2 linked regions of the Daphnia pulex genome follow. The protein of the gene in region 2 purifies or fractionates together with the protein of the main gene of each other region. This does not show direct contact. Links are inferred from orthologs where the notes say so. Each region holds a gene or a part of one and is shown on either strand. Other genes may lie near its edges.

Evidence for each region.
Region 1: the proteins of glycine--tRNA ligase-like (region 2) and isoleucine--tRNA ligase, cytoplasmic-like fractionate together in Homo sapiens (co-fractionation; 3 studies listed by BioGRID). This does not show direct contact. The link is inferred for Daphnia pulex from reciprocal best matches to the Homo sapiens genes GARS1 and IARS1.

What each region holds. Positions count from the first base shown.
Region 1 is NC_060019.1:984,031-999,250, reverse strand, and holds isoleucine--tRNA ligase, cytoplasmic-like, read right to left. Parts: upstream 6,151-15,220; 5' UTR 6,006-6,150; intron 5,721-6,005; 5' UTR 5,715-5,720; coding exon 5,596-5,714; intron 5,517-5,595; coding exon 5,209-5,516; intron 5,127-5,208; coding exon 4,938-5,126; intron 4,877-4,937; coding exon 4,748-4,876; intron 4,674-4,747; coding exon 4,525-4,673; intron 4,461-4,524; coding exon 4,045-4,460; intron 3,987-4,044; coding exon 3,588-3,986; intron 3,527-3,587; coding exon 3,388-3,526; intron 3,322-3,387; coding exon 3,145-3,321; intron 3,083-3,144; coding exon 2,870-3,082; intron 2,810-2,869; coding exon 2,616-2,809; intron 2,560-2,615; coding exon 2,457-2,559; intron 2,391-2,456; coding exon 2,175-2,390; intron 2,113-2,174; coding exon 1,954-2,112; intron 1,890-1,953; coding exon 1,752-1,889; intron 1,690-1,751; coding exon 1,552-1,689; intron 1,482-1,551; coding exon 1,345-1,481; intron 1,281-1,344; coding exon 1,157-1,280; intron 1,098-1,156; and 5 more. Other genes in the region: mucin-21-like, read right to left, coding at 6,508-6,752, 6,816-6,933, 6,999-7,084, 7,209-7,794, 7,870-7,995, 8,070-8,492; dual specificity protein kinase zak2-like, read left to right, coding at 11,495-11,706, 11,764-12,308, 12,380-12,492, 12,559-12,794, 12,851-13,362, 13,438-13,544, 13,617-14,342; probable serine/threonine-protein kinase fhkE, read left to right, coding at 15,063-15,220. UniProt on the Homo sapiens protein: Catalyzes the specific attachment of an amino acid to its cognate tRNA in a 2 step reaction: the amino acid (AA) is first activated by ATP to form AA-AMP and then transferred to the acceptor end of the tRNA.
Region 2 is NC_060028.1:9,586,342-9,601,561, forward strand, and holds glycine--tRNA ligase-like, read right to left. Parts: upstream 6,381-15,220; 5' UTR 6,270-6,380; coding exon 5,997-6,269; intron 5,895-5,996; coding exon 5,548-5,894; intron 5,478-5,547; coding exon 5,099-5,477; intron 5,036-5,098; coding exon 4,868-5,035; intron 4,812-4,867; coding exon 4,569-4,811; intron 4,506-4,568; coding exon 4,056-4,505; intron 3,973-4,055; coding exon 3,879-3,972; intron 3,811-3,878; coding exon 3,623-3,810; intron 3,551-3,622; coding exon 3,443-3,550; 3' UTR 3,288-3,442; downstream 1-3,287. Other genes in the region: unconventional myosin-Id-like, read right to left, coding at 862-950; XK-related protein 4-like, read left to right, coding at 7,245-7,693, 7,753-7,973, 8,038-8,193, 8,257-8,492, 8,564-8,896; uncharacterized protein LOC124210048, read left to right, coding at 11,034-11,278, 11,341-11,534, 11,617-12,086, 12,160-12,335, 12,403-12,574. UniProt on the Homo sapiens protein: Catalyzes the ATP-dependent ligation of glycine to the 3'-end of its cognate tRNA, via the formation of an aminoacyl-adenylate intermediate (Gly-AMP).

The sequences.
Region 1 (15,220 bases), on a different chromosome or scaffold from region 2:
TTACTACTAATACTCGAATTTACCTCACGGCAGAATCGTGAACAGATTTTACGAAAGATATTTTTCGAAAGAGTGAAGTCTCAATTCTCCTCAATGTATAATCACTCATAACTTTTACAACATCGGATTATCGATTAAACACAACTATTTTAGCTTTTGGGATTAGATATTTGGGTAAAGAAAATTTTTTATAAGACGAAAAAGAAATATTGAACACAAACCTTATTTCGTCAAGCAAGTGAATTCCATTCTGAAAGACTTTCATAGATTATATTTAATCTTCGAGAGTTCCGTGACGGCCTACACACTGGCTCGAGGGTAATATTTGTTTTAAGGTACACTCTGTGTAGGGTATCAAGTAGAACTGAGGCGGGGGCGTGTCAGATCGCTCGTTAGCGATTTCAAGCAAACCCCGTCTCGAAACGAAAAGCAAACTAAAAAAAAAAATGAAGGGCGCAAACCCTACAATCAATTCAATTAGTTAAAAATAACTTCGGCAACTATTGCATGCAAATTGAGAGACCATCAAACACTTTATTGTTTACTGATTGCCTCAGATTTGCCCAAGTACACAACAACTGTGACAATATAATGTCACGCTATTGTTAAAGCCAAAAACAATTGTTTCAGGTGAATCAAAGTAAATAGACGGTCTTCCCGTGTAACCCGTCCAGGTTTTCAAATTTCGCTGGCTGCATTTTCTTTTCATCGGAGGACAACTTCTTTGATGTCGAGTAAATGGCTCCGATTTTCCGCTGCATTTCCTCTGCAGAGCTGAACAGTGGACATCCCACAGGATTCTCCAACAGTACCGTTCCCATTTTGCCGTCTAATTTGACATTGACAAATCTGCAACAAAGAAAAAATACGAGGCGGATTAAGAAAATGGTTTTCACTGAAAGATTTGAGATGAAGAGACATTACCTGCAAGCCGATCCATCGATGGATGGTGTTTGGGCAGCTGCATCTTCAGCTGTAGCTGGAACAACCGTTAGCGTCGTGCCAGCAAGTTTGGAAATATCCGTAGCCGCATCGAGAGTCACACCGGAACTCTTGACCGTGTACGGTCGACCATGCAGACCGAAAACCGTAGCAGCCTAATAATTGATTAATGGTTATTCATACATGAAATGCAGTATGGATATTTCAAAATTACCTCTTTCACAAGTCCTTCGAAAGAGACGAGGGATGCTCCGACAGGATTGCTTAGTAATATGGTTCCGTAGGATCCTTCAATGCCATAACCTGATTTCAGGCCTTCTAAGCAAAGATTAACAAAGCTGCAATACAAAAAAAGAAACATTTAGATTTCAATTATGTTTTCAAAAATGAATTATCAATTACGGCGTAGATGGTTTCCCTCGGCCTGTAGGAGCCTGGGTGGCAACCAGAGACTTCTTGCCTGGAGGGACTCCGGCTTTCGCTGCCCAGTCGGCAGTGAATCCTTCTTGAATGGTCAGCACTAAATCTACACCTTGCAACTGTAGTTAAAAAATAAAATAATTTAACTCTATGAAGTTTATGAACAGTCGTGAAAAAATTCATTGTTACCTTTTGTGATTTGTTGATGAGGACTTTTGCACCCGACTTCTTGGATGGTGCTGCTCTCCATGGAACTTTAATGGCAGTCTCAATGTAATTTGAAAAACTCTTGACAACATCGGCTACGTATCCGGTAGGAGGAACAACCTGTTAAAATAACCACACGTTAATGGAAAGCTTGAAGGAGTTTATTAATAAAACAGTAATACCTCAAAGTAGACGCTGACGGCATCAGAAGGAGTTACGTGAGCTTCCTTGCGCAGTTTTTGGACCAAGTTAATGGCTTCTCGGGCCAAACCTTCGTCCTTCATGCTTTGGTCTTGGACTACATTCAACAACACCAACACCTGTCTCACATAGAAAAATTCAATAAAAAAAGCCAGGAAAATGGTTCTTAAACAGACAACTTACGTCTTTTTCCGCTTGTGTCTCGTATTGCTGGGCCAATTCAGCAGCTCGGTCACCAGTGAACTGGTAAAAGATCCGCAAATCCTCTGGACCCATCATGTTACCCAAAACATCGATCTGACCTTCGGTTAAGAATCCTTGTAGCTGCTCATCCGTCAGGGTCTAATTCAGTTCAATGAATAAATTTTAGTTCATGCATGTAATCACATTACGCAGTAAATAACCTTGATTGCAGCCATGACAGCCTTGAATTGGCCTTTGAGTCGCGCTCCAATGCGGTGATCCGGTTCTGCACGTAGACTGACTCCAAAACTGTCCTTGTCGGTGGTCAGTTTGAGAGCACGGACATTCAACTCTTCCAGAATGTATCGTTCCATAGTCCTCAATTCATCCAAGGACTCTTGCTCACGGAGGATAACAATCACTTCCGGCAAAGGGTACTGCAAATTATTTGAAAATGATAATCAATAACCGGCAGCGACAGAATATGAAAAAAACGATCGAACCTTGATGGGCAGAGTGCGGCGATCACGAAGAACACGTCCGAGTTCAATCACCACTTGCATCCGACTCACGGCATTTTCAATTTTGACATCAATCAAATGTTTCCTAATAAAAATGAAGCATTAGTAAATGTTGATTACTGCTTGTAGAATTTTTAATACTTTGGTTCAGGCGTAGAAAGGAAATGAACGGATTCCGTCGTTCCGGCTTTCTGGTTGGCCACTAAATGACGCAAGTTGCGGTACATCAATTCGGTCAGGAAGGGCGTGAATGGGGCCATAACACGGATCATGGAAAACAAGACACTGAAAAGTGTCTGCAAGGCGTGATGACAATCGTCCTTGCCACCATCTCCCTAAACGACCAAATGACAATTAATCTAAGGTGTTGTGAAAATAAACGAAAAGATTTTTACCTTTAGTCGCTTACGGTTCATCCGCACGTACCAGTTGGTCAGGTAGTCTACAAACCGGACAAGACGAGGAACAACAGTGTACAGCCGATAGGCAGCCATTTCTTGGTGGACGAATAGCAGCAAGGACTGAGTGTAGGAAATGATCCAGCGATCCATCACATTCGTTGACAAATTAGAGGCCTCTTCTTCATAAACGAATTTAATTCCATCTTCCTGTAGCCAAGAAAAATGCATCAATATCAAAATGTCTAACAATATCTAAAGAAAACACTTACGCGCTCGAGACGTTCAAGATTTTGGACAAAGAATCGGTAAGCGTTGTACCAGGGTAGGAAAACGTCTTTGATAATATCTCGAACACCTTCCTCTTTGAAGCGCAGATTCTCCGCACGAACAACTGGGGAGTTGATCAAGTAGAGACGAAGAGCATCAGCTCCAAATTTATTGACAACCTATAAAAGTCGAAAAAAGTAAGTTAAACCATTTTGTTTAGATAGAAAAAGAAAAAATAAACTTGCCAGCATTGGATCGGGGTAGTTCTTCTTCTTCTTTGACATTTTCTGGCCGTCACTGGCCAACACCAAGCCGTTGACAATCAAATTTTTGAACGGTGGTTTATTGAAGAGGGCAGTCGACAAAACCAACAGCGTATAGAACCTAAAACAGCCAAGATATTATTCGTTAAATGCCTACCTCAATTTACTATTAACAAACATACCATCCGCGTGTTTGATCAATGCCTTCGGCAATGAAATCGGCAGGGAAACAGTCCTCAAATTCTTTCCTGTTTTCAAACGGGTAGTGGACTTGAGCGTAAGGCATGGATCCAGATTCGAACCAACAGTCGAAAACCTCTGAGACACGTTTCAAGGGTGGCCGACCGGGAATTTTGGAGGGAATAGTGATGCCATCAACGTTCTCGCGATGCAAATCAGTCAATTCAATGCCCGTGAGTTCTTTCAACTCGGCGATGGATCCGACACACACCACCTCTTCGCCATCTTCCGACATCCAAATGGGAATTGGAGTGCCCCAGTAACGGTTGCGACTGACGGCCCAATCTCTGGCGTCACGCAGCCAGTTGCCGAACCGTTTTTCTTTGACAAAGTCGGGCACCCTAAATACAATTCATATGGGTCAACACGCAGTAACACGAAATGTATAACGTTTGTTACCAATAAGTTTTCTGGTTGTTTTCCAACAGCTGTTTGGACATTTGCTCCACACGGATGAACCAAGAAGGAACAGCACGGTAGATAAGGGGTGTTTCAGAGCGCCAGCAGAAAGGATAGCTGTGCTTTACGGTGCCGGAATTCACCAATCGGCCACAGTCTTTCAACATTTTGATAATGTTCTTGTCTGCATCTTTGACGTGCTGGCCGGCGAAATCAGTAACTGGATCAATGAATCTTCCTCCATCATCCACAGGACAAATCATCTCCTGATCTCTTGAGATAATGCCAGCTGCCAGGCAAACTCGGTAATCGTCCTCACCAAAGTATGGGGCTTGGTGAACGATACCAGTGCCGGATTCGTCGGTGACGTAGGAATCCGTTAAAACTTTAAATGCTCCAGAGCCGGAAGTCTTCAACTGTAAAAAAAAATCATGATTTAAATTACGACAGAATTTAATTATCTTTTAATTTCATAATTACGCTGGCAAAGTAAGGGAACAGTGGCAGATATGTTTTTCCCTTGAGAACTTCTCCTTTGAATCGTTCCACAATTTCGTATTCTTCTCCAGATTTGAAAAGTGCACTGAGACGAGCTTCCATCATGATGTAAACCTTTTCTGTTGCTTTTTCTATCAAGAAATATGGAGAATAAAATTGTTTTAGGTTTTACTTTATTTAATAGTTACAGTTGTCTTAAACAAACCTTTAACTCGAACATAGTCCAGCGTGGCGTTGACGCAAAGTGCAAGATTACTCGGCAGTGTCCATGGAGTAGTGGTCCATGCGAGAATAGACACTGACGGCTCATCGTCAAGCGGGAAGCTAACAATTACTGTATTTAAAAGACAAGTAATTAAGAATGGCTTGAATGTAAATAGAAATATATGATTTACCTGCCGGATCAACCACTTCTTTGTAGTTCTGTCCCGACTCGAAGTTGGACAATGGAGTACTACAAGCCGTCGAGAAAGGCATCACTTTGAATCCACGGTAGACTAGCCCCTTCTCGAAGAGTTGCTTGAAAACCCACCAGATTGATTCCATGAACCACGGGTAAAGGGTTTTGTAGTCATTCTCGAAATCTGAAACACAAAACATTGAAAAGATGATTTAAAAAATAGTAATTGAAACAAAAGAAGTTGATAGAAGGAAATTTTTACTTACCAATCCAACGTCCCATTCTGTTGACAATGGTCTCCCAGTCCTCTGCGTAACGCATGACAATCTTTCTGCACTCGGCGTTGTAATTGGCAATTCCCATTTTCATGACATCTTCTGGGCCTTTGATCCCAAGAGTTTTGTCAATTTCATATTCAACTGGAAGGCCATGTGTGTCCCATCCAAAACGCCTCTCAACATGAAAACCATTTTGATGAGCATATCGGGTGACAATATCCTTGATAGTTCCAGCTAAGATGTGCCCATAATGAGGAAGGCCAGTAGCGAATGGAGGTCCATCATAGAATGTGTACCTATGATAAGTAAAAATAAAATCAAAATGTTAAATTTGTAATTTTTAAGATGCAAATTAAATGGATTGATTTGCATTACCTAGGTTTCCCTTTGGACAATTTCAAACTGGTTTTAAATGCATCAATTTTCTTCCAGTATTCCAAGATTTTTCCTTCTTCCTGAGCAAAATCAATTGATTCGGGAACTGGTTCCACCATTTCTAACTGTAAAAAAAAGTGTGCAGAAAAATGTCTTTACATTTCGTAAAAAACATATGATGGACTGTTAACATGGTATCAATTTCCTACTTGTAAAGAGTTTTAACCAAGCAAAATAAACGATTCTGTAAACTTACAAAGTGCCACATAAACTGTTTTTGACACAATAACAAGAAAAACTGGTATTGAGTTCACATTGCTGACATAAGGAGCGATAAATTTGATTTTCTCATCAAACCAAATACTTCTATGAAATAAACTAAATGCATGCAATGATAACTTTATAATTACCTAAAAATAAATGAATCAATCCAAGAAACAGTAGCTTATCTATCTTCCACGAGATTTCCGGCTCTTGATCGCTGAATTGCTGAATTTTACATCAGAATTTCAAGAAAAATTCGTCTGCTACCAAACGCAACGTTGCCACACTTTCAACATACGTATTTCAAGGGCAACGTGAACAGGAAAAGAGGAACTGATGAAGGAGGCTGGGAGGGGAAATCACGAAACAAAACTCAACAAATCACGATATCTTATTATCTTACATTGAAAAATGCATAAGCTCTTTAATTGTGTCTCACAGATGGATCCATGATGGATCTAAACTAGTGGTTATGAGATACAATTAACTTAAGAAGTCAAAACTCAAGCGGTATGCTGATTGCTGGTGTATTTTTATTTTCGTATAAATTTCGAATTGATAACACACTGATATAAAAAAAATTTTACACGAAAAATATATATAAATAAATAATTGCAGATCTATTTATTACATCTGGATTTTACCAAGTTAATCAATTGATTCGCAAATGAATCTGAAAGAATTAGTGCAAAATATATCAGCCCAATAACCAGCACTAAAAGTTTTGATTAAATCAAGGTGAAGGCAATAACCCGGTCCGTTGTTATCAGGTTGGCCTGGACTCCAATTCACGTAAGTGAACGGCTGAAAGGGTTCTGTAGATGCCCATTCCCATATTTTTTCTCCATCCAGGGAATACATCCCTGAAGTCCAATAGCTGACGCTGTTCAACTCTAGATTCACGCAGGAAAAAAAATATAATTTATTCATTGCACGATTTTCACTTGACAATTTACCTGGTGTAATTTTGATATGGTCGTAAATTAACTTGTCCTCCTCTACAGTTTCAAGACTGAGCAAACCCATACCTTCATCTTTACAAAAGGTATCCGCGGATATCCAATTCTTGCCGACCTGAAAATTTGTTGAAATTTGAACCTCATAACAAAAAAAATCTGAAATCGTGATTGGTTTCTTACGGCGTCGGTGAAAAAGCAATAACATTTCCCACCCAAGGTCCAGCAAGGCAGTTTAGTATTTCCTTTCAAATACGATGGACAATCTTCTGCAAATAAAATTCAAAAGAAAAATCATCAATTCCAATGTAAAGTGATTGTAGTAGGGATATAACAGCAGGATTGCAAAGGGATGTAGCTCAAATAATTGAAATACGTTTTCACATGCCGTACCTCCTTCTGGAATAGTTGTTGCGAGTTCGGTGGTCGTTGTTATAGCGTCTGTTATGTCGGTAAATTCAGTCGATCCTGCTGACGTAATCCCTGTCGATTGCTCCTCTGTTGTCGTTTCTTCAGTTGTAACGGTTGTAGTTTGATCACTGGTGGTTGGTAAAGGAGTAGCAGATGTGGTTGTAATGGCTGGTGGTGATGTTTCAACGGTTTCCGTACCCGACGTTGATGTTTCAGGGATTTCCGTGCTTATTGTAGAAGTAATAGGACCCGTTGAGTTCTCCGTCAATTCAAAATCATTTGAAGATGTCGAGGTTGTTGGCGTGGTAGACGTGGTAGACGTGGTAGACGTGGTGGACGTGGTGGACGTGGTGGACGTGGTGGACGTGGTGGACGTGGTGGACGTGGTGGACAGAGTTGTTCCAGTCGATGTGGTAGATGAAGTCACTGGAGTAGCAGTCGTCAATGAAGAAGTTTTGGTCAGTGTAGTCGATGTGGTTGACGAAGACTCTTGAGAAGAAATGAAACGGAGGTCGTCGATGGCGACAGCATCTTCAGCATTCGTCCCGCAATAAGCGTAAAACACCAACTACTTTCGTAAGGCACAAAGTTCCAGATTAAAAAAGACACATCTCAAACAAGAAAACGAATACAAATTTAATACCGTCAAATTAGAGGATGAATCGTCCGTTATTGAAACGGTCTGAGACTGCCAAACTCGATTGTTGATATGGGAATGCTCGAACAAATTTGAAAGCAAACCTTCATTTCCGTTTCTGGCCAGATACAACTGCACATCAATTAGATAATTAACATTTAAACAAAGTCCGTCCTTCTGATAATATAAAATAATAATTTAATCACCTCCAAGTTTGTGAATTGTGGCCATTTAGAACGAATCCAAAAGGAGAATGAAAAGGAAACTTCGGTGTCAGACCCAAGGGTGAAGGTCTGACTGCGCAGAACAGCCACACCGAACGACAAAGTCGATCCACGATCAACTCGGAGATAAGTCGATCCGTTGGTCGGTGTAGGAGCCACATTTCCTGGCTCCCAAGGCAAAATTTTGTTCTCGACTCTCCACTTGACACCAGACTCCGACTGCTCAATCCATGGGTCAATTTGACCGTTCTCGAAGTCACTATCAAGATTGACAAGTTCAACCAATTTCGTGGGTCCGACCGTGAGATCGCACATTTGATGTTGACAACTAGCGATTAAAGTTGATGGCTTGTCAATGAGAAGTAATAAAAATAAGCCCACTAAAAACGAGAGACAACTTTGCATTTTCAGCACAAATTTGAAATTCAAGCACAAATAACGAAACTACGTCGCTACACAATCAACGGCCATACAAAACGAATCAATCTAGACTGAAGCTGATTATTATAGTCTGCGTTAGTTTGTTTTTCGTCATGAGCAGCTGATAGATAACACAAGTTTCGTAAGATTGTTGGCGTCATATGAAACATTTTATATGTACCTGAATATTTCGACAAACTTCGATCTGGCGGGGATAGATGAATTAGGTTATCCATTTGACATTTCAGTTGCATTATTTGCGCACAGATATTTCTACAAGATGACATTAATATTATCTACATTGTGCGTCAAACGCATTACTTACAGTATTGTGGGAGTCTGTGGTACTCATTACTGATGCAGCCGCCGATGAAAACTCCGATAAGAATGGCTGAAAACGTTACTACGATAACACACCCAGAAGGTGTCAACGATCTTTTCACCTGTAACAACTGCCGACTAAGAGCAATTTTGAATTGCTTGGTATCTTTCATTAAATTATGTTTCTATTTATAGCAACCTTATTATGAACAATGAGAGATGACCGCAGAGGTAAAATTATACCATACTGACTAATTACACCTGCTTCTGTTTTCTTATCAATTTCAAGGATACAAACTAATCAAATACGCCATATTGTAGGACACCACTTCAGCCTAATAAGAATGATTTATCTTAGAATCACTAACCTTATAGTTCATTAGAATATGATAACAAGAAAATCAAATATAATTTGACTTAGTTTTTAAATTCACCCGCAGAGTATTAGTGACGCCACCGGCCACTCCATTGTTTCGTATACAAATTCATTATTTTGATTTTCCTAATAAAATAAATACTTAAAAATAAATTTATTTACGTGAAAGTTGTTGAAATAGATTGGAAAAAATATAAACTTCAATTTAATTACAATTACAAATTATTCAAATCGAAATCAAATTAATAAAACTTGGAAAATGAGAGAAAATTGTGTGCCGCAAACAACGGTTGCATTGCAGAAGTCTATAAAAGGAGACTCATTTTGGACTTCATCATTACGGTATTCAGTTTACCAAAACTACCAAAATTCGAAAATGGCAGATCTCTGTTTTCTATTTGAATGTCTATCTTTATCTGAGAAGCAGAAGCGTACTTTAGAGTACAAGGATGAAATAATTCTTCACCGCAGACCCAAACGACTTCGTTTGCCCAAACCCTACGAGTTAAATGTTGTTGGGCTGCAGAATGTTGGAGAGAAGATTCGTCTCAAAAGATCCAACAAACGCCCGAAAATGGACGAAGGTGTCAGTCCCCTCCTGAGAGGTAACGAAATGGAAGTTGATGAAGACGTCGAGGAGATTGGGCGTAACTTGCCACGAGACAAATCGAACAATCGCCACCGTCGCATCGCTACTAATCCCGAACCGAATCAGCACCTGTCCGTCCGGAACACCAACCGATTCAAGACCTTGCCAACCGGCAGCAACGGAAAAGGACACAAGACCCGTCAACGCAATCGCGGAAACCGTTCGAAGAAGAACTTGGTCGTGAACTCGTCCGACCGCGGCCGGATCGTGGATTTGACGGGATCCAAACCGAACGTGACTAATAAACCGAAGCCGACTTATTTAGAGGAAGTTCAGGACCTCAAGTCACTTATGGACTCACGGCGAAAAATAACACCTGTTCGTCGCCATTAAGTCTTACTTTGGCGGGGAAGTATTTTGGATTGGATTTGAAGAGGATTGGCTGAATTTCAGTTTTGGAAAATTTGCATTTCGTTCTTTCTTTTTTCGATGCGTCATAAGTCATGACTGTGGATAAAATAAAATTTATAAAATCAAAACACTCTACTTGTTTGTCTAATTCATTTCCGTTATGTTTTTATGACAACTGTTGATCAGTATAACAGATAACAATTTAACAAAAAAATCCTAACTGGCCCCTAGTCTGCGTGCGTTTTCTGTAAGAATTCTAAACGGAAGTCGACTCGTACCGTACAATGCTCAATGAATATAGGAACTTGGGCAAAATTCTCTCATTGGACGTTTCAAAATTAAAACTGTAAGAGCGGATTAACTATTTTGGAACGAAGGGGATCTCACAAAAACTGTGGGACTTACTATATGGAGTGTATGGCCGATATCTGCACGAAAATTCGTTTCTTAATGAATTGTTGGCAGATAATGGTCAATAAGCTAAAGTCTGATAAATTCAAATTGGTTATCTAACATAAAAAAGGCCTATTAAAATTTTTTTTTATATGCATACAAATTGAATTGAACATTTTTTCGGCCTTTAAAAAAGCCGTTTGTCGGAAAAAGCACAGAGTATTTTATTTTTACATGCATAGAATTACTTTTTGGGCTTATACTGTTTAACGACTTTAACCGTCCTTTTAAAGCTCACGAGTAGGACTTTACAGTTTACAACAGGCTATATTTCAAAATAGGTAAAATGGTATAAACGCAGAGATAAGGAGATGACCAACTCAATGGGAGAGCCAGCAGACGACGACACCCCATTTATTCACCCGACCAGAACCCACCCTTAAACTATCTCCCTACCACCCTCTGCGTTACACTAGCGCAGCTTATATTTAATAATTTTAAAAAGTGGTCAAATTGTTATGTTAATTAAAAGTCAAACTGTTCAACGATCGAAAAGTGCTACCAAAACGAGAACCTGATAAGAAATAACGATAACGAAACTAGGCAAGATACAGTAATGCTTTTATATGAGCTCTCCGACGACCAACCAACCACTTACACGTACGAAGCTTCGGCGATTTCTTTGATTTCTTCTGATTCCCCCAAAAATAAGGTAAAAAAAAAGCTTTCTTCAATAATTAACGACCAAATCATTATAGTTTACATCACGTTCTTAGTTAACAAACTATTATTTTCTCTCTATGATGTTTGCTTTCAATTTGGTTTTTTATCTCCATGGGAATAACTTTGCAGTCCGAGCGTTACTTGTGCAGTCTTTTGTCAGCCTGTTGATTCGAGATGGAATTTGAATGCAGCAAAAACCAATTAGGAAGAGGAGCATTTGGAATCGTCTTTAAAGGTTCCATGGGTCCAAATCACATCCCAGTAGCCGTTAAACGACTTCAGCTCGTGGATATTGAAGTCAGCGAAAAGGAAGAAGAGGCTCTGAGAAACTTGAAACATCTCAACGTTGTCAAATTATACCACGTCAAGAGCGACTCTGATTTCAGGTAATGTCCCTCTTCGATATTAGAATATATATTAGATAAGATTTAATTCTACTATAGGTATTATGCTCTTGAATTGTGTGAAGCTTCGTTGGACAAGTTATTCCTCAAAGAAGGTGACCCCAAAAAATGCTGCAGGCGAATGCCACCGAGAGAAGAAGTTCTATACCAATTAGCCACGGGATTAAAATACATTCACAAAATGGGAATGGTCCATCGTGACATCAAGCCTGAGAACGTCCTCATCTGGGTGAATCCCAAAAAAGAAGAAGAAGTCCTAATGAAATGGGCTGATTTTGGACTAAGCAAAAAAGTCAACGAAAACGGATCTTTTTCTATAAGTGGAGTACGAGGGACCGATAATTGGTTAGCACCAGAACTACTGAAATTACTTAAGGAAGAAGAATTAACGGATGGTTTAGAAGGAATTACATCATCTTCACGTCGACGGGGAACTATCCAGAGCGACGTTTTTGCCGAAGGCCTCGTCTTCGGTTATTTCTATTTAGACGGTGAACATATTTTCGGGAAAATTCCTGTGAATAGTCATAACCAATTGGACATAGCTAATAACATATTGAAGAACAATCCCGTGAATATCAGCAGTAAGTTACTAGAATTAAAATCAAAAACTGTCCAGTCATAATTTCAAAATTGCTTTTCCTTTCTTTGATAGAAATTCAACCAACGCACGTTCACAATCTTATCTTGAAAATGTTGTCCAGCGCACCAGATAAAAGGATCACTTCTTCGGAGGTTGTTGAATATCTTACAGAGTACAGAGCTCCGGTAAAAATAAATAAGACAGAAAATATATTCAAATAAAATTAACCTTGAAACCGTATGATTGATTAGGCAAAAAGGAATGTGCTACCCGGCAGCATGTTAGAAATTTACCAAGAAAAAATTTTGGAAATGGGAGGTAATGGTATCATATTTGAAGGTGTCTGGGGGACGACTCGTATTCCAGTGGCAGTCAAGCGGATGCAATTAGTTCACGTATTAGGTAAGAAACAAGAAGAATCGTGGCTTAACCTTAGTCACGACAACGTTGTCAAACTATTTCACGCAGAAAACGACTCGAAATTCAGGTAAAACTAGAAAAAAAGTAAAGTTGGAATCAAGTTACTATTAATTGAAATAATAGATATTATGCACTGGAACTGTGCCAAGCATCGCTGGATCAGATCTTTTTGAATGATGAGAATCCCAAAAAATACCGCGGGCCAAAGCCTCAAACAGAAGAAGCTCTTTACCAATTGGCTATGGGATTGGAATATATTCACGAAAAGAAACTCATCCACTGCGATCTGAAGCCCAAAAATGTTCTTCTCTGGACGGGAAATTCGTCTACTGTTATGAAATGGACTAATTTTGGGTTAAGTAAAGAAATCGACGCAAAAGGAACTTGCCCCATCAACGAAATCAAAGGAGGATTAGACTGGCTGGCACCCGAAATTTTAAAGGCGCTCGAAAACGAAGAGAGTCAGTCGGAAAATCCTGCAACATTCCAGTGGGAATGTTGCACCTTCAAGAGCGATGTCTTTACCGAAGGACTCGTTTTCGGCTACCTTCTTTTAGATGGTAAACACCCTTACGGTTCGATTTCACGAAATATTCAAACAAATATCATCCAAGATGAACCGGTCAACATGTCAAGTAAGTTTGTATGCGAAAAATGGGATTGATTTTGTCCACAAATTTTGTCAATTTAAACATATTTTCTTTCTCCAGAAATCCAGCCTTCTTCTATTCGTGAGTTAACTTTGAAAATGCTGACTTACAAGCCAGAGAGCAGATTGACATCATCGGACGTTGTTAAAGAATTCAGAGACATCTGGGTAAGACTATTACGTAAATATAAAGAATGCGAAAAGCATTTAATAATTGTTGATTGGTATTTTGTGTGACAGAATTCTCAACAAAAAGAAATGGAAAAGACGCTGTTCAATCTGTGTACAGAGCCAAACCCAAGTTTAATTAAAATCAAAAATTTAGTAAACCAAGGCATCAGCGTCAATTGCCTCAATGAAGATGAAATGACTCCCTTGTTGCAATTACTAGCTAACGGTGAAGCGTACCGCCATAACGATTTTGTCGAAATTATTCACTTTTTCGTTGAAAAGAAAATCGACTTGAATGCCAAAAACGATTACGGAGAAAACGCCCTTCTGAAATTGATTGTCAATTATAAAAAGGACGATTTAATCGACTTAATTAAACTCTTCGTCGACAACGAAATTAACATAAACTGCAAGAATAAATACGGCACTAATATCTTGCATTACGTGTGCGAGTACTATACCCACGAAAATTTAATGGACATCATTCAACTTTTAATTGAACAGAAAGTCGAAATCAATTGCATTCACGATTACGGACACAACGCCTTACCCGTATTGTGTCGCAATTATGGCTACGAAAATCTGTACGACATCATCAAGCTTTTGATTGAAAATGGAATAGAAGTCCACTGCAACCCCAACAACGAAGGTAACGCCCTCAACATCATAATCAATCATTACAGGGAAGAAAACAGGGCTAACATCGTCGAACTCTTGAGTAAAGAAGAAATCAGACAAAGAGGAAGATTTCAAGCCGGATCTTCGTCTAAGGCAATGAAAAGGAAACACAACTAAATTGATTGAAATAATTCAAAACAAACATCCGTATTCACGAGTCACTATACTGTAGAAAAAAAGAAAAAGCAAATGTCAATAAAACAGATTTTGTGGTCCAGCTTGCTTCTTAATGAAAACGTCTCTTGGATTGAAAAAGATGCTTTTCGTACACGCTGCATTCGCCGTTCACTATGTGAATCGGACGGAATCGATTAATCAAAACTCCTTCAACATTTAAAACTCTTTAAATAAAAAAATTGAAATCCGATTCTATTATAATTTTCATTCATGTGTTTCATTATCAAAAGTGATTTCCGCAGATTCTTATCCAAGAATGGATGACGAATGACAACATCACTAAAAGCTAAAACGCAAAAATATAGGCCATAGCCTATCGCATCGCCAATTAACTTCCTAGATTGATAAATGTTCACAAAATTGCGGACAGTAAATTTAGAACTTAACCCTGTCTTCTTTACGTGATGTAGAATCAAAAGATTTAAAGTACGTACAATGTGGTTTTTAGGTATACTCGAGCCGGACAAAAGCGGGACAAAGATAAAGGATGCATCAAGTTATCATTAAGAAAACAAACAAGATAAAAGTACTTTTATCAGTAAAATAAATTTACAAATGCTATAGAAAAAGTTATATTTCTCGCATCAAGTACCCCACCCTTCAGTTGAACGAAAGTGGACCTAGTTTAAGTGCTTTTGGCAAATTGATTAATTTGTTAACATGTTGACCTTTGATCGTCAGAAGGTTTTAGGAAAAGGAGGTTTCGCCACTGTTTATGAAGGTATTTGGGGTGAAACTAAAGTAACCGTCAAAAGATTTCTTATAGGGGATGCCGCAAGCAATGAACAAGAAGAGAAGGCCCTGAAAATGTTAGATCA
Region 2 (15,220 bases):
TTTTTCATTGCAAAAGCAAAGGCAAACATTTCGAAAGAAGAAAGACAGACTATTGAGTAGACAACGTTTGATATACAACCGATCATTTCTTTCGTTGTTATTTGTCTAACTGATTCCCTCCCGGTTTATTTTTCGTTCGAATATCCCATGCAAATGACCACGACGCCATCTGCTCACGCTATAATTACCACATCGGAGCTGGAAATAGGCAATCACGCAAACGAGGGGGGTGAAACGAAACATCGAAACATGAACTAAAACAACTTATAATTTATCTGATAAGAGGGGAAAAACCAGTCTGTCCAATCTTTTTCCTCTTCAAATAATCAAAAAGAACAAATTTGCACCTAACCAACGCACGAAAAAGAAAGATAAGAATTAAAACACGCGCTGACATCATTTGTAAGTATTCTAAATGTTGTGGACAGACACGTAAACATTTTAAAAGTCAAAAGTTTCGCAGAAAAAGACCAATTTTAATTCCAAGGACTGGCGGTCGGTTATAATCTTACGAGGGGTCACGTCTGGTTTTTCTGGGTAAGGATTTTCGCTTTCTTTTCTAAGGTTCCGAAAATCCCTAGGATTTGTCATTTTTTAAAACACTATCTGCCGATGTCTGCCGAAAAAAAAATTAATAATAAAAAGTTAGTACTAAAATTTACTTTTCCTATATGACTTTTACCCAAAAACAACCCGCGACTAATTTACGACATCAAAACATTGCCCTCCCGGCTAGCTGCAATTGTCGTTCGCCCCCGCTGAGAGACTCCTCCAGCGAAAGAGTCTCACGTCAAAAGAATCACTATAAGCTATTTGTGTGTGAGCATCTGCCATTGTAAAAATAAAGTCTGAAAATATCACCTGATTCGCAGATTGTGGATGAAACTGTCGGGAGAAATTTCGTCGAGCAGAACAAAGTCTCCTCGACCGATCTCTTCGTGATTCATCATGGTGTGAGCACAAACAGCCTCCCCCCACGCAGACTCACGCACACAATAAAAAAAAAAACACACACAACCTTTAACAGGCGGCTTTCTCTCGTCCCTTTCTTTTTCTTCGTCGAGTCTCTCTGTGTGTATCTTCACTCAGTCATGTAGTAGATCGCGGTTCGCCAAACACCGGCCACGAGAATGAAGGGAGAGAACAATAACTAGAGACTTTCACGTCGTCGTTCACAATGATGAATGTACGTGTGTGCACGAAAAGAGCTTTCGCTTGTCCACACAGGTATGTGTATCAGGTGTTGTTGTTTCTTTCTTCCAAAAGGAAATGAGAAGATAAGAAACACTAGTGGAAAATATGTTTGTGTGTTGTGGTGGTGGTGGTGGGAAACAGCCACGAACAACAACACGACCAGTTCGTGCAGAAGCCAGCAGCCGACTGACTGTGGCACACGACACGCTGAACCAAACCCGGGGTCCGGGAGGAGTATTTTTTGTTCGTTCCCACTGCGGGGCAAGAAACGTCAAACTTGAATATATTTCGGTCGGTTATTCAAAAACTCGGAACCCAACGAAAGCTGTCACACACACACACTCAAACATACACACACACAATTCCGGTTGCATTAGTCACCATACTCCCACTTGGTTTGTTGTCCTACTAAGATACTGTATGAAAGTGAACCAAAATGGCAGAGCTTTTTACGAAATTAAATATTCAATGGGCCCTACCCCCAAAAACAACTTTTTTTCATTGTTTTTTGTTGTATATACCTGTCGTGTACTGTGTAGTATACTATCTATACGTGTGGGAATTTTGGTGAGCGGCGATGTTGCCGAACAGGATGATTTCAGGTGAGGCTGAAAGGGAGAACCTGGAAGGAAACAGGTTTAGGCAACCAAATTGAAAATTGTCGCTGTAAAAAGGTAAACGAGTTCCAGTTGCCGAAACAATTTCGTCTCGTGCGAAGGTGATGGCTTAAACCCAAAAACGAGTGTGTCTGTGTGTGTGTGTCGAGGCTCATATAGCTCTAGGCGGATGAAAACCTTAAATTCCACTTGCACTTCAACCGAATAGAAAAACTGGGAAGCACCCCACAGTCGTCTAGCGCTGGCTAATATGCTCATGGTCTCGCCTTTTTTTATTTTGTAATATCGTCACCATACTTGTCATCGTCTTTTTCATAATTCCTAAGACTATATGTACCAGCAATCCTCATCTATTTACATATGTCTTCCGGACTGTGGAAAATGGACAACGCGATTTGCAGTTTACGTTTCATCCCTTTTTTCTTTCTCTCTCTTTCTCCGGTTTTTCGCCTTAAGATATACAAACACAGGCATTTTGGCAACTCAAGTGTTTCTCTTTTTATCTTCGTGCCCGTGTTTGGTTCTCCCCTATCGCGCATTTGCGGCAGCAGCAGCGGCGGCGGCGGCCACACCTTTTCTCGCCGACTCTACTTCCTCCGCTAGGGCGTCTGTGTTTCGTTTGTTTTGTTTCCGTTATTTACTACGGCTGACGTCACACACGGGGGATAACACAAAATTCAAAAGATTTTAATCTTATTACAGGTCCTAGCAGATTAAATTGATGTCACGAAACGAGGCGTACGGCACATCGCATGCTCTTTGCCCCGACAATAGACCCTTCCGCTCCGGAAGATGGATTCCCTTATTTCTCTAGTCGGTTAATAAAAAAACAAACAATTTTTCAACCAAAACGATCGATGACGCAGCACGACAATTTAAAAGGATTGGATTAAACTAGAGGCCAAGTGAAAAACGGTTAGCTGATGGCAAGCCATCAAAAGTCATGTCATGACGTAAAAAAATTAACGAGCCGGAAGTATTACCGCTAGCCCAAAATGATGCAAACTCGACATTTTTTAAAGCATGGCTTTTTTCTGTGATAAAAACAAGCAATCTCTCCCCGTTCGAAGAACCCCTCCCTCACTGCATTCCGGCCGCAGGTTTCCGTCCGCTTACTAAGTCTTCATATAATCGGCAGTAGATCGTAACGAACGATGTGTCAGCGGGAGAGAGAGAGAGACTTTCTAAAATATCGATACTCACTTTATAACACTCTAGGTGGCAGCAGCGTTCGGCACTTCCTTGCAGGGAAACCTGGCGATTCTCCCCCTTTTCTGGTTAAATATCCGACACGGATATTTGCATCTGAATAGACTATATGGAGAGAATTCTACAGGGGCCGCATCCGGCCGTGGGCGATACAACAGAAAATAGGGAAGATGTTGCGTGAAATAAAAGAGCAGCGAGTTCTGTTTCATAACCGGTGTGAGAAATATAAAAAAAAAAGTAAAAATAAGAAAAACGAAAAATTTGACATTGGAGTAACCAGACAAGATTTACTTTCAGAAAGCCACTGGGGTGTGTAGTAGTACCCGACACCAATGCTATTATACGTCGTGCGCAAAAAAGTTGTTTTGCTCGAGGCGTTCGCCTCACCCAATTGCAGAAGAATTCACAGTTTCTGGGCCTATTTATGTCTTGGTTTCTTGTTGTTCGAATTTCGGGTACTTGGCTTCAACGTCCGTCCATGTCATCTTGTCGTAGGAAAGATCCCTTACAACGCCAGCAATCTCTTTCAACTGTGGACGAAATGGTAATTTTTTTAGTTAAACAAGAGACTTTCTTTCGTCTGGAATGACGTCAGAGCTTACCGGAATACGAACTTGACCCATCGAGTCACGTTCACGCAGAGTGGCAGTGTGGGGCTCTTTCAGAGAATCGAAATCGATGGTAATTCCAAATGGGATGGCGATTTCATCAGTTCGAGCGTATCGGCGACCGATAGATCCGCTTGAATCGTCAACGCGGTTCGACACGTCAAGGGCAGTGAGATCACGCGCTAAAAGGAAAGAAAAAGAGAAAGCATATGAAACACTGAAGTTCCCAGTTGCCAAGAAAACAACTTACACAGTTGGCGGATGTATGGAACAAAATCCGCATTGTTACTTAATGGAAGCACCGAGCACTTCAATGGAGCGATAACCGGAGGTAGAGAGAAATACTAAGGAAATCACCCGCGCAAAAAAGAATAAATATTAGAAATATTCTGAAATGACGACATCCATCCGGTGGTTTTGTACTAACCGTGCGTTGGCCACCGTCACTTCTCACTCTGAAGTTATGCTCAAAGATCGAGTACATAATCCGACCGATACCGAACGATGGTTCAATGACATTCGGCACATATTCTTCTACGTAAATAGTTTTTTGGTAACGCTTGACTTCCAACATGTCGGGTGTCAGGACGTAGGAATTGGCACCGATCTCAAGAACATATTTTCCGTTGTTTTTCAAAGATTCTTCCACTTCAGCGACAGTTGAAGGTTCCAGCTTCGAGAGCGCTTCCATAATTTCTTTGGCTTCCTTCTTGAACGATTTGCCAACAATGCCTTTGTTGGCTACAGCCTCAACGACGTCGATAGTCTTGGGCTCGCGCAACTTCCTTTCAGCAACAAGACGGACCCCGGTGGATTTGGTGTGCTGGGACAAGTCGTAGGCAGATCGATCGGCACAGCCGACACATTCAACCCATCCCTTGATATAATTCAAAATGTAACGTCAATATTGTTCAAGTTAAATCATAGACAAAGAGCTTACATAGGAAGTGAGACATTCAGCATCCCAACAATCGCAGGCGTAGTGAGCCATTTCGTTGTTCATATGCTGACGGAATCGAAGTTTCCTGGGATCTACTCCGACTTTGACCATGTATTGTTGGATACGAGCCATGAAATATGCCAAAGTTTCATTGGCAATGATTTTGTCATCCACTGCCTTGCCGATGGTGACAATTTCAGCTGCTTTGCCATCCATTTGGTTGCAGGCGGAATACAAGAGTACCTGTGCAATAAAGTTGGATTATTTCACAAGCTAGTATAATCAATTCGGTAACTTACTTGAACATCTCGAACTTCACTAAATTTAGGATGAGACTTGTCCGTTGGATCGCAGAAATGTTCAATTTCTGCCATCGTAAACTCACGAACGCGGATCAACCCCGAACGAGGAGAAATTTCATTGCGGAAGCTATTGCCAATTTGAGCTGCTGCGAAGGGCAGTTTTTCCTTAAGAAATGTGTTTGTTTGTTAACAGAACAATGGGCTAAAAGTTTCAAAATAAATTATTACTTGATTGAATTCCAACAATCGCTTGAAGTTAACAAAGATTCCTTGTGCTGTTTCAGGCCGCAAAAAGCCTTTAACTAGGCCAGTGGGGCCAATGTAAGTGCTGAACATCAAGTTGAATTCCATAGGATCGCTGAGTTCGTTGTTGGTTAAGGGTGCTTTCATCTCAAATTTTCGGAGAATGACACGCATTTCTTCCTTGTTCATTCCATCGAGCTTAACGACAATGTCTTCACATTCCAATTTGACTTCAGAAGTTGTTTTCTTATCAGATTTGACCTTTTCTAGATGGGCTTTGATCAAATGGTCCAGGCGGAAACATTCACCATTTTTCTCATCCTTTACCATTAAATCAGCAAAACGATCAACATGGCCAGAAGCCCTAAGATCAGACATGAGAAATTGAGTATGTAACAAAAGAGATTTTTTGCCATAAAAAACAGGTTACTCACTTTAACACAGGTTCAGGAGTAAGGATTGAACAATCAACTTCCAACATTTGTTCTTCCAAGATGAAAAAATTCCTCCAGGTACTGAGCATATTGGCTTTCATGGCACAGCCCATTGGACCAAAATCAAATTGGCCAGTGATACCTCCATAGATGGCAAAGGACTGGTCAAAGAAGAATCTTCTCTTTAGCAAGTCTTCCATTTTAGCTCGGTCAAAAGAAGCCTCCACAGGAGCCAACTCCAACTCCTTATCTTCAAGAATCTTCTTCCGAGCCTTCAGTTCGGCAACAGCTTTCTTCAAATCAAGCTCAGGAGCACCTGATTCTTTTAGTTGACGGACAATATCTCCCTAAAAAGAGGAAACAAATCAGGTCACACTTTGTTCAAGTTGACTTGTCACTAGCAGGTAGTACTATAACGAACAATAATCATCATCATACAAACCAAATACCTGCTCTTTGACAGAAGCACGGAAAGGTGCCAAAACTTCTTCAATCTTAGGATCAGCCATTATGTTAATAAACTGAATCTTTAATTTCTGCTTATCCTTATGCCTTTTCGAACCCCAAGCGGGTGCCTGTTTTTGATATCTTAAAGAAGAAAGAACGTGAAGCTTTCTCGAAAAAAGGAAAGGTTTAATCTTGGTCGTGCAAGATTGAGTGCCAAGGAACTTTCTACTAAAGACTAGGGAGGCTACAGTCTTAACAACAAAAGGAAATTTCATCAGCAATTTTGAGGTACGGAACGTGGCACCGGCCAAGAACCAGCCCGTTATTTTCGTCTGCCAATGTTGCACGATTAATCAAATGTCTCCTATCAGATAAAGCGCTCCTAGCGGATATTTTCAAAATTTCGAAAATGAAAACGGAATTGAAGGTCCTCCTTTTTTATGATGAGCAAAATGATATGTCGTTGTAGAGAAGATGGCGGTGGACGCAACATCGTATAACAAACTTAAATGTAATTGGGGTAAAAAAATCGTGGCTTCTTATTTTGGAAAATAACAAAAGGGAAGGTATTTTAGAGTGGTATCCAACCTGGGTACCACGCTTTTACTTTATTGAGTATTGACTGCGCACTGGACCACTTTTCACTGTCGACTACACCAAAATAATGCGATAACGTGAATTGTCTCCTAGAGACGAACGCAAATGATATGTAGTCCTAATAATAATAAATCGCGGTTCGACTTTCGGTCTAGTAGGCTCCCCAGTGTCTACTCTACGATCCTTCGATTTTGTTAAACCATTAACATCACGTTAATGCACAGAATACACAAAAGACGGAAATACACAGAGGACGGAATGACATGATTACATCATTTTTTTTTGTCACAGAACAGTTGACGGACGGACGTGTATTCAACATTAATACTAAAAGTATAAATCTGATTGAGATCATTCGTTCAATAAGGAGAAGTACCGGTTCATTACCGAACGATGAAAATATTCCAAGAAGAAAAAGTTCAAATTTTGTTTGTTTTCAGCGCCCCTAGCGGATTATTATGACATTCACTATCATTCTACTGTCTGCTCATCTATTGCCCTCTTCCGCCTCTTTTCATATCTGTCAAAGTCGGGTAGTCGTCAGACGGCGCTACGTTTTCAAATTATTATAGCAGGTGTGTGTGTGTGGCTGTGTGCTAAGCCAACGGCTCGTGTTTATAAATCAAACCTAAATTAGTTTCACGAGCCCAAATATGGAATCTACCGCCAATACAGTTTCATCGCCGAGTAAACTGTTACCAAGGGCGTGTCATGAACGTGTGTCGGCTGAAAACGAAAAAGACAAGTGTCAAGAGAAGTCGCTGGTCGAAACGAGTCACTTTGAGTTCGACGAAGTGGATGGCTTGCGAGGAAAAGCAAATTTCAACTGGCTCGATGTAGTCTGCATCGTTGTTTCCATATTCAGTTACATGGCTGATCTTATCACTGACGGATTTATGGCTGCCACATATTTCAATTTGGGGCACCATTGGTATTTTGGGTTTACATTGGCTTTCGTGGCCATACCTGCTCTCACCATGTCTGGTTTGAGTACAAAGTGGTACATTAAAGATCAGAACAACCAAAACTTTCCTCCAGTGTCTACATGTACCTGGGTGTTTCGCATATTCTGCCTAATATTTTTTCTTTCTCCAGTTGCAAGGTATTTTGTGTAGTAACATGCATTTAAGCCATGAAATACATCACAATTTCTTTTTTTAGATATGTTGACACCCTTCGCTATGGACTTCAAAGTAGACGAGCCAAAAAGAGGAAGGAATACAACAAAATGGGCCAGTGTTATGCTAGAATGGCCTATGAAGATGCTGATGCCACATTCCTAAGACTGTTTGAATGTTTCATGGAATCTGCTCCACAGCTAGTGTTACAGTTGTACATTATGGCAAAAAACACTTTCAGTTTTGGAACTGATCCAATAGCTGGTAATTATTGTCATTTCGATTCTATATCATCACAAATTCTGAACTAATAATATGGTATTTACAGTGACTTTCCAAGCTGCCTCTGTTGTCACTTCTGTCGTCAGCTTGGCGTGGGCATTGACGACTTACAACAGATCACTGCGCTTTGCCCAAGTAGACAAGGAAAACATTCATTTGCTGGGAACTTGCGTTCTCTTCTTAGCTCATCTTTTTGGGATAGGTGAGGCATAGGAAGCTAGCTCAATTTCCCTTAAATTGAATAACGTTGAATTTGTTATTATAGTTGCTCGAGTCATTGCACTGACTGTCTTTGCTTCCGAATACGGTTGGTTTATTTGGCCTGTCTGTCTTGGCCACTGGATCCTAATGGCTATATGGCTTTGGTTGCAGGCAACAGCCGCGTGCTCCACCCGCACAGAAGAATTCTTCTTTTGCCTTATTTTAGCCATCATCCATGTCTTCACATTCTTCAACGTCAAACCCGATCGAACACGTTTCCGATATGCTTTCTATTACGCTGTAAGTTGTATTTAAAAATTTAACCATAAATAACATTACATTTGTTTTGCCTTATTTTATTTTTGTTTTAGGTTTGTTTCTTCGAGAACACCATTCTTATGGTGCTGTGGTGGATTAAGGTAGCTGATATAGCCCCACCTCGTCCTTGGTTTCACTTCCCGGCCCTGTTCGGCCAGATAGGATCCTTTGTACTGAGTATCGCTCTACTTGCATTTTACTACAAGTGTCTTCATCCGAACCTGTTGCTGCCCAATGTCGGCATATGCAACAAGGATGGAGCAACCTTGTGCTTAAGCGATACTCACCCTCCTATCATCAATGGTGTTCCTTCCCCTCGTACTAGTCCGGCTCGACTCGGCAGACTCGACATCATTCAACGCGAAGATGTCCATCCTGAAATGTAGAATCTCTATTTCTGTCCTCCACTTCGAAAAGATCTGGATTGATCTTATTTCCGATAACTTGACTAACGTTTTGTACATACTCGTCAGCTTCAATCAGGGAATAACTTGACTTGCGCATTTGCACTTTTTTGTGGTTTGCTCTTTCGTGATACCCTCGCACTTACTGCTGCTAAGCACAATTTCCTATGGTAAGAATACACCGTATTTTGCACAGCTACCGTGTTTGTATTAAAAATACCTTTGATAAGCATATCTTCATCCTTCATGGATATAAATCGTTCGATTGTGAAATCAAGATACCCTCGTAACAAAGCTTCTGTTTATTACATTGTGAGTATTATCATTTCTTTGAACGACGTGAACGTAAATTTAAAAAAAAAAACCAAAAACAAATTTATGTTAACATGTATTTTAATTAACTTTTGTTCATTGTCTCGGACCAGGGATGTTTAATTGAGAATTCGATTCTTATGGGCTTTTGGGACTATCGTTGCTGCTTGAAGACGGGTGTCTGTCTTCCATGGTTCTACACGGATTAGATCGGACACTAACTGTCGTTCCCTTTTAGTGTTATTCCATTTGAATTTTTTTTATAATAGAAATTTTTGATTTTACGGAATGGGGACCATTTGTTGCAAAAGCTAGATTCCATACATAACGAAAACGATTCCCACAACATTGCCATTTTTCGATGTAGAATAAATGAATATAATTTTTTTTAACTTAACAAGTTAATTTTTTGTGTGTAATTGTTACATCCATGGCAGAATTGTGTGTATGAATATGTTGTGCGGATGGGCAGGAAGCAGGAGGAAAGGGGTGGGTTATTTTCTTTGGCATCGATGGCAATAAGGGAGGGTTCGATCAAAATCTTTTTTGATCCCTTCTCCAGTTCTCCCGCTTTTTCATTTCGTTGTCTATTCTTCACCGCAGAACAGTTTAGTTGACTCGTGGTCGAGAGTGGAGTTGTTTCACTTGTTTGTCTTCAAGTATGGCATGACATTTCTCAGTGTGAAGTGTTAATCATCTAAATTGATTCTAAATCTAAATAAATTTTAAAAAACTAGATTCAAATGATTTAATAACTGAATATATCACCCTAGTGCTGTGCATGATGGAAGGAGACTATCAAGGTGTGTGTTGGCTGCCAGAAAAGAAAGGATGCCATTTCGTCGCCAACTCTGAACCCGAATCCCCTTTCTTCATCGGTAAGTCGTAATCATCTGCTGTTCACTTTAGATAAGCCAAAGCCACTATAGGCTCCGTGAATTCCCTAAAATTCTCCAACTCAATGTAGAACCACGTGGTCGACTGTGTTATTCAGCTTGTAGCCAAAATCTAATTGATCTCAAGATCACTCAAACGTGATGTTTTCGAATGCTCGAAACGTTTTGACAATTAGGTCACTAGAGCAATAAACTCCTGAGTTTGTCCCTTTTTCTTGGAAACCAAAGGGTTTTGTTTTATCCTCCGAATTTGTTTTACCTTTTGGCCTTCGTCTTTAGGACGAATTTTTCTCTTGTTATTTTGGTCTTTGTTGTACATGTGACAGTTCCACGTGCCAAGAAATAATTCATCTGACAAGCTAGGGTAGCAATTCAATGATAATAAAACCCAAAACCCTTTACCTAAGTTTGTTTAAAATTTTTCTAATGTCGGTCATACCCTTCTGTCTCCGAAAAAACACTGCTGTAGGTCCTTTTCCCCATGTCAGAATTACTATATGTAGTAACATTTTACTGTTACATATCAGACTACAAGAAAAAGAACTTGTGTGCCTCCAGTTTTAGGTAGAGTCGTAAAATGGTTAGACGTAGGCCTGTGACAGTTTGATCTGGTCAGTCAGTCGGTCACAATCCAGCACTCCGGCTGGACCCTCTCTGTGGATTTCGCTCAACGTTTGGAATCGTCAAGCAAATTTTGTTTTTAAATTTTAACTCATCTAAAAATTTTACAGTTTTGTTTCTCTGTCCAATTTGAGTGCTCATCAGTGTTTTGGTTCCCACAAAATATTTATTTCGTGAAGAGTGTTTCAGTTTGAAACATGCATACTCCCAAAGATATACCAGTTGCACAACCACAGGTCGAATGTGAAAGAAAGTCAATAGCGTGGGAAGTTGCGACGATCGTGCTTTTAATGGCTTTTTATTTGTGGGATATTTTGAACGACGCGTGTTTGGTGTTTCGCTATCACTATGCAGGTTACAAATACTACTGTTGCATCACACTAATCTTTTTAGTAGTGCCTGGCATGTTCATGTCTTTCTTGAGTAACGATTGGTACGCCAAAGACGAAGAAGAATTTGCGCCCGTGTCAAAGTCCAAATGGAAATCTGTTTTTAGAGTTGTCTGTCGAATCATCTTAATATGGCCTCTAGCCAGGTATTTTCGTAGTACAATTTGACTCGTATCGACAGTAGCGGTAAAGGTTGAAATTAATCTAGGTACGTTGACAGCCTTTGTTATGGAATTGAAAGTATAAAAGCCCAAAAGATGAAAGACTTTCCGAAAATGGATCAATGCCTTCAACAGATGACTTATCTACGTCTCGTAGAATGTTTCTTCGAATCTGCTCCTCAATTGGTGTTGAAATTTTACATTATAGCAATTCATGAATGTGATCTATTTAACACACACGGTAGGCTATCGGAATTTCCTTATAGCAAATTTTTCTAGTAGCTAAAAAATGGATCCATTTTGGCATTTTGTGACTTTTTCAGTTGTTCTAGTCGTTTGCTCTTTTTTTATATCTCTTGTCAGTCTGGCATTGACATTGACATTATACGAGAAATCAAAAACAGAAGAAAACGACCAATGGCGTAACACTTTTTATGATACTTTCTTGTTGGGGTTAGCTTGTTTTTGTTGGATAAGTAAGTTTTCAATAATTACGTTTATTTTTCCTGTTGAATTTTTTAATATTTTTGTCTTTACACAAGGCAGTCGTGTCATCGTGCTGGGTTTCTTTGCCGCTTATTGTTTCCCTGTTTTACGATTCACAATAATCATTGTGCCATTGCCCATCTTTATTCATTTGTGCTGCAAATTCAAGGCAAAAAGAAAAGAAGAATTAACTTTTGGAAAAGTCGTCTTTTACGCAATCACAGCCTTAATCCACGTTTTCGCGTTCGTCAATGAGCGGAAAAAAGTGCCAGGCCCTCCCCGCCCTCCGCAAATTCCGTATTTACTTGTAAGTCGTAAATATTCGAAATTTGTTTATAGGCATGAACAAATTACAATTATATTTTTTACTATTAACACAGGTTATATCTTTCGAAACCCTTTTTTACGTGATTATCGTACTGATGCATGGCAAATTTGATCAAGAACCTTCCGACCCACTACCCTGGTTTTATAGTGTGGCTATTGCCAGTGGGTTAGGTTTGCATGGTTTTAGTTGGCTTTTGCTGGCAATCTATTACCGACATAGTCTTTGCAAGTATGTTTTGATGCGACATATTTATTTATTTATTTTTAATCCTCATTTTTCATTATTGATTGGATAGGAAATCAACTGATGAAAAATCAACTGATGAACGCCCTCAGTCCACTATTTTTACTGACGAAGATGGCGAAATTTTTCAATATCTTTCGGTCAATGGGGTCGACTCTTCCCCTATGAGTAGGCCTACCCCTACTCAATCTTTGGCAATAATCGCCGCCAAAAAAATTGTTTGAATTAGAAATTGCAAGGATTCGCATTTATAGTAAAATAACCCCAATGAATTTTCGCGGTTTTTTTTAAATTTTATTGGGAAATTATTGAACTATTTCCAAATTCTTTTATATCTCTTAAATAAAACGCGTCCTGCTGAAACTGAATAACATTGAAAATAATTTTTTCACGCGAACATTTTGAGCGCCGTCCATGCAACCCCATTAAGGTATAGCGTCGGCCATTTTTGCGGCAAGCGGAACTATGTTCCTCTCCGGCAAATCATGTCCAATCTTGTTCCGCTGTTTCTTCACAATGATGCAAACTAGTTAGGTTTAGCTAAGCAGTCATCCACAGCATCTGACAGTTGACAGTTGTGCTCGGAAATCTTTTGTCTTTGTGTATAAGATTTCCCTGCGTTATTGTTTCACGAAAAAATATCTGAATCATGGGTGAGAACGTGAATAATAACAACACGGTTTCGCCGCCGTTTATTTCGTTCCCAATTCACGAGAAAGAGAAAATTTTAAAGGAAACTAAATTTATTTGGTTTCACTTTCTTCGTGTCCTGTGGTCCATGCTCATTTTCGTCGTTAGCTACCTGTGCAATATTTTTTCGACAGTCAACTATTACCAAAATGGAAATTATTGGTTTCTTGGATTTCATTTATTTCTTGTGCTCTTCGCTGCTTTTTACACGACTGTCTTCGGTGACAGTCTGTACTACACCGAGGAAACAACAAATAACGAAGTATCACAGAGTAATTTAATATTCAAATTTATCTGCCGAATGGCTGGTGGACTTTTTCCTAGGTAAATCCACATTAATAGTAATACATTTTGAAATTTACCTCATATTTTTATACCTTAGGTATGTTGACATTTTTTGTTTTGGATGGAAAGTCATCCAAGCAAAAAGAAGAAACGACTATGTTGAAATGGCTGAGAACTATTCTCGGATGACTGAAGAAAATCACCGAGCACAGTTTATACTATTATTTGAACGCTTCTTGAAATCCGCTCCTCAGTTGGTGCTACTGTTGTACATCATAATAACCAATGACTTTGTTATTGGAAGCGGTATTTATTATTTTCTTTAAGAACATTTGACAAATGGCATGCTCCATAATTTTGAGTTTTATCAAGTGACCACTTATTTTCAAATTGCTTCGGTTGCCACTTCCGTCATCGGCCTGGCGTTTACCCTAACGTTAAACATTCGAATCGATGGCAACATGCAAAGAAAACACTGTGTCAGTTCAGGTGTTCTATTTCCAGCGCATCTATTTGGAATAAGTATATACAATTGTTTTAGCAAAAAGTAAATTAAAACTAATGATATCCGTTTTTTCATTTAGTTACTCGAACCCTTTCTCTGGGCGTTTTTTCCGTCGTCTGCGGGAGTTACTTTTTGACTGGCTGCCTTATTCACTGGATAGTTATGATTATTTGGATATGGATGAAAACAGAATCAGCCGACGGGATGACTTGTATGCAAAGAATCTATTTTTGCGTCATCTCTGGTTTCATCCATATTTTCGCGTTCTTTAACTTCGAATTCTGCAAACATTTGGACCGTTTCCACTACATATTTTATTATGGGGTAATTTTGTAGCGAAATAACTTTTTTACCGTCTTATTTCATTTGCTATTATCACACACTTTCGATTTGACAGATTTGTTTAATCGAGAACTTGATTGCTTTGGTACTTTGGTGGCAAATCGAACTGGACAGCCCTTGGTTTCTAGATTTTGTCCTTATCGGGCAGATAGGATCGCTTATTCTAAATATCATTTTTCTTGGAATTTATTACAGTATTAGTGCTCGCTCAAATTCATCAGTGCTTACCGAAATTTGTATCGAAGAAATTGGCTTAAATCTGAAAAATCAAAAATCTCAATCGCCATCTGACTATTTTATTTCTACTCCCACAGGCAAATTATCCAACATTTGCTCTCTCTTTCAATATTATTTCTTAAGAATTCACCTGATTTTTAAAATACTGACATTTCCAGTAAATATTTAACCTATAATTGGACCATTTGGACCAACAATTGGACCAAAATGTGTTTGCAAAACGGAAAGTTACCTCCTATTATTATGTCGTTCTAGAATTTTTTAAATTCCGTGTTTGAATTTTACAGTTTACTATTCGAGTATTATTCACCAGTCGTTCATGTGTTCATTTGCCCATTTATCTAATTTAATTGATTCGATCAAATTGATCTGTAAAATCTGTTTTTTTTCTTAATTACAATGAGGAAACTACGTTTAAATTTTTCAAGAGCTTTCCATTTGAATCATTCAAGTTGCTACTTCACCTTCCATTTTTATGCAAATTTTTCAATTAAGAGATCCGCATTAATTAAAAGTAGTTTTAAAAAAGGTTACACAACGTCGAATGTTTTTTTTTATCATGTATTGAAGTGTACACCGAGATTATGTTATTAATAATACACATCGGCGTGTCATATTGGCCGATCCCGAATGTGAATGGCAATTTGTTTCCAGAAAGATACATTTACGGCACTATAGAATCAACCGTCATATTTGAAATTACAAGACTAGCAAGGAAAGATACAAGAATGTGCCTTATTCATTAATGAATCACTCTTTGCTTCTTTTTGTTGTTGTTGCACGCGTGAAAGCAAACAAGTAATGACAGTAC